2 linked regions of the Ovis aries genome follow. The protein of the gene in region 1 purifies or fractionates together with the protein of each later gene. This does not show direct contact. Links are inferred from orthologs where the notes say so. Each region holds a gene or a part of one and is shown on either strand. Other genes may lie near its edges.

Region 1 (4,131 bases):
GTTCTTGCCTGGAGAATCCCAGGGACGGGGAAGCCTGGTGGGCTGCTGTCTCTGGGTCGCACAGAGTCAGACACGACTGAAGTGATGCAGCAGCAGCAGCAGCAGCAGTCAAGACTATGGTTTTTCCAGTAGTCATGTATGGATGTGAGAATTGGACCGTAAAGAAAGCTGAGGGCCGAAGAATTGATGCTTTTGAACCATGGTGTTGGAGAAGACTCTTGAGAGTCCCTTGGACTGCAAAGAGATCCAACAAGTCCATCCTAAAGGAGGTCAGTCCTGAATATTCATTGGAAGGACTGATGGCTGAAGCTGAAGCTCCAATACTTTGGCCACCTGATGTGAAGAACTGACTCACTGGAAAAGACCCAGATGCTGGGAAAGATTGAAGGCAGGAGGAGGAGGGGATGACAGAGGATGAGATGGGTGGATGGCATCACTGATTCGATGGAAGTGAGTTTGAGCAAGCTCTGGGAATTGGTGACGAACAGCTAAGTCTAGCATCCTGCAGTCCAAGGGGTCACAGAGTTGGACCCCACTGAACTGAACTGACCGACTCACTAAGCACTCTATCACTCTGTAAAGTGAGCTATTATCTTCAGATTGCCTTTGATACCTTACCCTTGCTTGAGTAATAATACACACACACACATACACACAATCTTTGTCTGCTAATATGTTGCCCTCGAACTGAGAAACTCAATAATAAACTCAAATCATGATGCCAAGGAGGTCGGAGATGAAGGATTAACAGGCCGAGAGGTAGTCTCACAATTTCCGCCCGTTACTGGGGCTGAACCTCCAGTTTTGCGTTACAGTATTAGATTTTCTCCCCCTCTTCTTAATTTTTTTTAAGAGGGAAGAGGAGGTTGTCACGCCTAGGGACTACAGGTGTGATTTATCATTATCGATCTGAGCCCAGGAGTCTCCAGACCAGGTGAGGGATTACAGCCGGAAAAGCTAGAGCCCCAGGGTAATTCTGGTAAAACGTCCCTAAATCCATCCTGGGGGGGGGCGGGGAGGGGGGGGAGCGGGAGTGGGGGAGGAGCGGGAAATTCCCCTACTTTAAAGTCTAGGAAGCCTGGTCAGGCTGACCCCGGGGCGGGGCTGCGGGGCAGGTGAGGAAATCCCCATCTTCCCCGTCCCAGAAAGCGCTCAGGTACAAGTCGCACGTCTAAAGCGCACGGGGGCGTTTTCCCCAGGGTCGGTCACCGGGCAGGGGCGGGGAAGTCTGGGCCGGCGGCCCCTTTAAGGCCGCGACCCACGTGCCCCGTGACGTCAGAGCAGGAAGTGTTTGAGGAAGTTGGCGCCTGTCTCGAGGCTCTGAGGGCCCCGCGCGTTCATGTCTTCGGGGCGGCGCCCGCGCCCCGCCGCCAGGTGAGTGCCTCGGGCGGGCGCCCCCGCTGTCACCCGCACCCCCGTCTCCGAGGCTCCCAGAGACGCGCGTGACCGGCCCCGAATCCGGGGCTTCCCGGGCGGGGAGGGCTGGGAGGCCCCGGCGGGGTGGTGCCGGGCGGGGGCCCGGAACGCGGCGGTGATTAGTCGGGACCAGCGGGGAGGCGCCGGAGCGGGGGGCGCAGCCCGGGGATCCCCTGGCAGTTCCTGGGTGCGGGGGCGTCCTGTCCTGGGCGGGACCCCCACCCACCCCTTGCTGCTTCGGGGTGAGGTGGATGGGGGGCTGCGAAAGACAGGACTTTGCTGCCCAAACGAAAACCAGACCCAGCCACCTGCTTTTATGTACGGAGATGAAAAATCAGTTCCGATTTTTCTTTACCATCGAAGCGCTGTGGCATCTCTTAACCTTGTCCATCTTCCCACTTTTCCTTAACCATCACCTTTTGTTCCCCCCCTCGCCCCCCACATTGCTTGCAGCGTTAGCAGGACTTCAGTATGAGCTGGTCACCTTCCCTGCCAACCCAGACATGCGGGGCCTGGGAAATGAAAGAGCGGCTTGGGACAGGGGGATTTGGGAACGTCATCCGATGGCACAATCAGGTAGGCTCTGTGCTGCTGGGAGGAGCCGGGGGGCGGCAGGGTTAGGGGGTGCAGACTAAGTCTCACCCCCTACCCACCCTGTGAATGGGGCTCACCTTGGCCCTGGGCTTCTTGGGAGAGAAAGGGCCTGGGAAGATAGCCTCAGGTCCCCTAAGCTGACTAGGTTAGTGGTCTCCAAGCTTTACTGACTATGTCACCTAAATAAATAGTAAAAAAAAAAAAAAATGTAAGTTTTCAGCTTCAAATATATATTTTAAAATTACATATCTTTGCTAACCTAATATTATCACCTACTAATATATTGTGTAGTTGACTCATTGGAAAAGACTCTGATAGCTGGGAGGGATTGGGGGCAGGAGGAGAAGGGGATGACAGAGGATGAGATGGCTGGATGGCATCACCGACTCGATGGACATGAGTTTGGGTGAACTCCGGGAGCTGGTAATGGACCGGGAGGCCTGGCGTGCTGCATTTCATGGGGTCGCGAAGAGTCGGACACAACTGAGCAACTGAACTGAACTGAATATATTGTGTACTAATGTATTAGATGTTATGAAACATGCAAACATGTTTTCACACTTTAGAAAAATCTTAAGTGTAAAAATAATAAACCATTTTTAAATGTTTTAAAAGTTAATTTAAAAACCATTTTAAATACTTAGCAGTTATGGTGTCTTCCCAGTGTTGTTTGCAATACCTCACAGTGAGAGTTATACAGAGGCACGTGAAAATGAGAATTATCGTTGAGGATGGTGGGTGAACATGCACGTTTCAAGTAATCTTTATAATTTGAATTCTTTGGGCCAATTTTACATCTCATAGATCATCATTTTCTTAATGTCTTTGACATGTGAATTTTTCACCCCACAAGCATTAGGGCTTCCATATTCCTGTTTGTCCTGGTGATACATGCACTGAAATTCTCCACAAGAATCTCTTTAAGCCACTCATCCATTTTATGAGAGTCCTTTTATTAAAATCCTGGAATGAAAAGTCAAGTGGGCCTTAGGAAGCATCACTATGAACAAAGCTAGTGGAGGTAATGGAATTCCAGTTGAGCTGTTTCAGATCCTAAAAGAAGATGCTGTTAAAGTACTGTACTCAATATGCCAGCAAATTTGGAAAACTCAGCAGTGGCCATAGGACTGGAAAAGGCCACTTTTCATTCCAATCTCAAAGAAAGGCAATGCCAAAGAATGTTCAAACTACTGCACAACTACACTCATCTCACACGCTAGCACAATAATGCTCAAAATCCTCCAAGTCAGGCTTCAGTAGTACATGAACCATGAATTTGCAGATGTTCAAGCTGGTTTTAGAAAAGGCAGAGGAATCTGAGATCAAGTTGCCAACATTCACTGGATCATCGAAAAAGCAAGAGAGTTCCAGAAAAACATCTACTTCTGCTTTATTGACTATGCCAAAGCCTTTGACTCTGTGGATCACAAGAAACTGAGGAAAATTCTGAAAGAGATGGGAATACCAGACCACCTAACCTGCTTCCTGAGAAATCTGTATGCAGGTCAGGAAGCAACAGTTAGAACAGGACATGGAACAACAGACTGTTTCCGAATTGGGAAGGGAGTATATCAAGGCTGTATATTGTCACCATGCCTATTTAACTTATAGTACATCATGAGAAATGCTGGGCTAGATGAATCACAAGCTGGAATCAAGATTGCTGGGAGAAATAATCAATAACCTCAGATATGCAGATGACACTACCCTTACGGCAGAGAGCGAAGAACTAAAGAGCCTCTTGATGAAAGTGAAAGAGGAGAGTGAAAAAGTTGTCTTAAAGCTCAGCATTCAGAAAACTAAGATCATGGCATCCGGTCCCATCACTTCATGGCAAATAGATGGGCAAACAGCGGAAACAGTGTCAGACTTTATTTTGGGGGGCTTCAAAATCACTGCAGATAGTAATTGCAGCCATGATATTAAAAGATGCTTGCTCCTTGGAAGAAAAGTTACGACCAACCTAGACAACATATTCAAAACCAGAGACATTACTTTGCCAACAAAGGTCTGTCTAGTCAAAGCTATGGTTTTTCCAGTAACCATGTATGGATGTGAAAGTTGGACCATAAAGAAAGCTGAGCGCCAAAGAACTGATGTTTTTGGACTGGGTATTGGAGA
Region 2 (3,567 bases), on another chromosome or scaffold:
ATCTGGAGTCATGGGGATTAAGCAGTCATTGGGTATTGCAGACTGGCTTATGAAGTGAAATTGTGGAAGCTGTTTAACCTTTAGGATGATTGGTTATTACAGCGGGTGTTTCCACTGTATGGCCAGGGATAGATTAGAAATGATTATCTTAAGACTTCTCTGGTGGAACAGTGGGTAAGAATCCACCTGCCAATGCAGGGAGCACGAGTTCTATACCTGGCTGGGGAAGATTCCACTTGCTGTGGAGCAACTAAGCATGTGCAGTGAAACAACCAAGCCAGAGTCTTGCAACAACTGAAGCCCACATGCCTAGAGCTGGCATTCCACAAAAGAGAAGCTACCACAATGAGAAGTCCGTGCACTGCAAGACAGAGTGACCCCTACTCGCCACAACTAGAGAAAGCCCAGGCGCAGAACTGAAGACACACCCAGCACAACCGTTAGTAAGTTAATAGATGAACATTTTTTTTTTTAAATGGTTATCTTATACCATTAAAAAAAAAAACACACACAATTATTGTGGGGGTCCAGCCTGGCCAATCCAGAATGACTGGCAGCACACACCTCACTGAAGAACTTAGTAACACAAGCCTTAAAGTGTATAATAAAAGCCTAAAACCCTGTGGAGAATTTCATAGTCATCCACAAGTAGATGGGAGGGGTTCTCGAGTGGGGAGCTGCAATGCTTTATTTAATAATAGGCAAAGTTGAGTGCATGGTATGAACATCAGCAAAGCAGAGGCATCAAGATAACAGACATGTAACAGAAAGGAGAATTAGAATGCTTAAAGCATGGCTATTTGAGTTTCAGTGGCTTCCCAGGTGGTGCTAGTGGTAAAGGACCCGCCTGCCAATACAGGAGACATAAGAGACACAGGTTCGATCCTTGTGTTGGGAAGATCCCCTGGAGGAGGAAATGACAACCCACTCCAGTATTCTTGCCTGGAGAATCCCCATGGACAGACGAGCCTAGAGGGCTACAGTCCATAGGGTCACAAAGAGTCGGACATGACTGAAGCAGTTAGCACATGTACCTATTGGTAATGTTTCACTCTGTAAAGAAAATTTTACTTTATTGGTTTTAGCATTTTTTTCCTCTGAATTCTGCATAAAGTCTCTACATTTCTTATCCTGGCCTTGGTGAAACTTCTTACCAGAGCCTCCAAAGTCACTCCATACAGACAACCTATATACAATATCAGCCCTGCCCATAAAGATGTATCCATTCAAACCCACAGCTCCCAGGTCCATACCACGGAGGTTCTCCCCACCTGTAGGCAGAGATCTGGGCCCTGCCAGGTATCTGAAGCTCCCTCTTCATCTCTTCCTCGCTGGTGTCCAAGTAGTTAAGCAGCAGATCCAGTCTATTCACTTGGAAAAGCAGCTCCTTCAAGAAGGACAGATTGCTTTCCTCCAACATTCTCTTTTCTTGGAGCCTCTGGAATAGCATCAAGGCATCCTTAATGGGTTCCTGCTTCCTATATGGGATGTGGTCCCGGCTTAGGAACTTGAGGGCAGCCAGGTCGTCACTGCCCAGCTGCTCTCCAATTTTATAGAGACATTGGGTGAGATCCATGCTTTTCAAGTGTTAGGAGAATGTAGTTGTTACCTAGGTTAAAACACAATGTTATTTTCAGATGAGGAAGAAAACTACCACTTACTGGTTTGTTCCTTCATCAAATGCTATTACATCTACTATATGCCAGACATTTTGCTAAAGATACAGGGAAGAAGAAAAACAAAATTAAAAAAAAACATACAAACAAACAGGTTCCCACTCATTATCATCTTGGAACATAACACTGTTTTGGAAAATAGATTTACAAACTAATCAGTGGTCAGAGAGTTGTAACCAGAGCACAGGAGAAATATAGAGTCTTAACTCAACCTGGGAGAAGGGCTTCCTGGAGAGGAGTCACCTTTGGGGAGAAGATGGTGAAGGACAATTCTTGAAGGAAATAATGTATGCAAAAGATGGAAGCAAGAATGTTCAAGTCAGTTCAGACAGGCATGGGGAGCTCAAAAAGTAACCCTGAAGAGTCTGAAAGAGGGAATGGTGAGACAAAGGGATGGAACTGTGGCCAGGAACCATTATAAAGGGCCCAGACCATGGGTCAAGGGGGTCAGGCTCTGTCCTGGAGATAACGGGGAACAAAGAAAGCATCGTAAGCATGACAATGATGTCATCCAATTTAGTATTAACATTTAAAGTGTGGGGGACATACATATATGTATAACTGAATCACATTGCTGTACATCTGAAACTAACACAAAATTGTAAATCAACTAGACTCCAGTATAAAATAAATATTATACTTTAAAAATAAAATGAAGTGTAGAGGACAGATTGGAAGGGTTGGAGGTGGGAAAAGTGATATGATCTGGCAGAAACAATGGTGGTGGGAGGACACGATGCAGTGTTGTCCCCCAAGGGCCTCAAGACTGGCTCTCTAGTCAAGAACCCTAGACTGGAAACGGAACTCAGAAGAACTTGGTCAGCCTTTCCACTCAAATTATGGGGTATTTTCACACGTTGCTATTGTATAGTCGATAAGTCGTGTCTGACTCTTTTTTGGCCCCACGGGCTGTAGCCCGTCAGGCTCCTCTATTCATGGGATTTCCCAGACAAGAATACTGGAGTGGATTGCCATTTCCTTTTCTAGGGAATCTTTCTGACCTAGTGATCGAACCCAGGTCTCCTGCATTGGCAGGCAGATTTGTTACCACTGAGACTCCAGGAAAGCCCTATTTCCACATATTGACTTGTTTGAGTGGGCTTCCCTGGTGGCTCAGATGGTAAAGAGTCCACCTGCAATGCAGGAGACCTGGGTTTGACCCCTGGGTCAGGTAGATCCCCTGGAGAAGGGAACAGCTACCCACTCCAGTATTCTGGCCTGGAGAATTCCATGGACAGAGGAGCCTTGCAGGCTATAGTCCATGGGCGTCTCCTAGAGTCAGACACAACTGAGTGACTAACACACACACGTTTGAGCAGATAAGAAAGGGAGAGGGTAGTGTTTCAGGAAACCACAGACAGGCTTCACACAAGTAGCCCTGAATCTGGAGTTTTCCCCCTTGAGCCCCTTGAGTCACCATGGATTTCTCCTTCACCTTCCCTGCTCTGATAAGCCTATATTCTAGGCACAAGGAACCCTTGGAGCAGGGTTCGTGTCAGACACAGCATAGTAACAAGACTGGGACATAACTACACGAGGCGGGCTACACGGTCACCGTCAAAGCCAGGCATCTCACCAGCACCTAAGTGTCTAGGCAGTGGGGCTGTGGGGTCAGACAGAACTTAGACCAGAACCCACGGTGGGCCTGGCCCAGGCCTGGGCAGTTCAGAGCCTCTTAGGGTGAAATTCTCCTCTGTAAGGTGAGATCAAAAGAACAACCTCTCCTGCAGTGTTGTGAGTATGAAAGAAAGTGAAAGTGATAGTCGCTCAGACATGTCTGTCTCTTTGCCACCTCATGGACTGTAGCCCTCCAGGTTCCTCTGTCCATGGGATTTCCCAGGCAAGAATACTGCAGTGGGTAGCCATTCCCTTCTCCAGGGGATCTTCCCAA

What was found. The genes of interacting proteins can lie anywhere in the genome.
Region 2: the proteins of IKBKB (region 1) and CASP8 purify together in Homo sapiens (affinity purification with western blotting; 3 studies listed by BioGRID and IntAct, with this or other methods). This does not show direct contact. The link is inferred for Ovis aries from reciprocal best matches to the Homo sapiens genes IKBKB and CASP8.

Annotation. Positions count from the first base shown.
Region 1 is NC_056079.1:36,452,795-36,456,925, forward strand, and holds the start of IKBKB (inhibitor of nuclear factor kappa-B kinase subunit beta), read left to right. Parts: upstream 1-1,271; 5' UTR 1,272-1,374; intron 1,375-1,869; 5' UTR 1,870-1,887; coding exon 1,888-1,992; intron 1,993-4,131.
Region 2 is NC_056055.1:203,627,059-203,630,625, reverse strand, and holds part of CASP8 (caspase-8), read right to left. Parts: intron 1,610-3,567; 5' UTR 1,577-1,609; coding exon 1,272-1,576; intron 1-1,271. UniProt on the Homo sapiens protein: Thiol protease that plays a key role in programmed cell death by acting as a molecular switch for apoptosis, necroptosis and pyroptosis, and is required to prevent tissue damage during embryonic development and adulthood.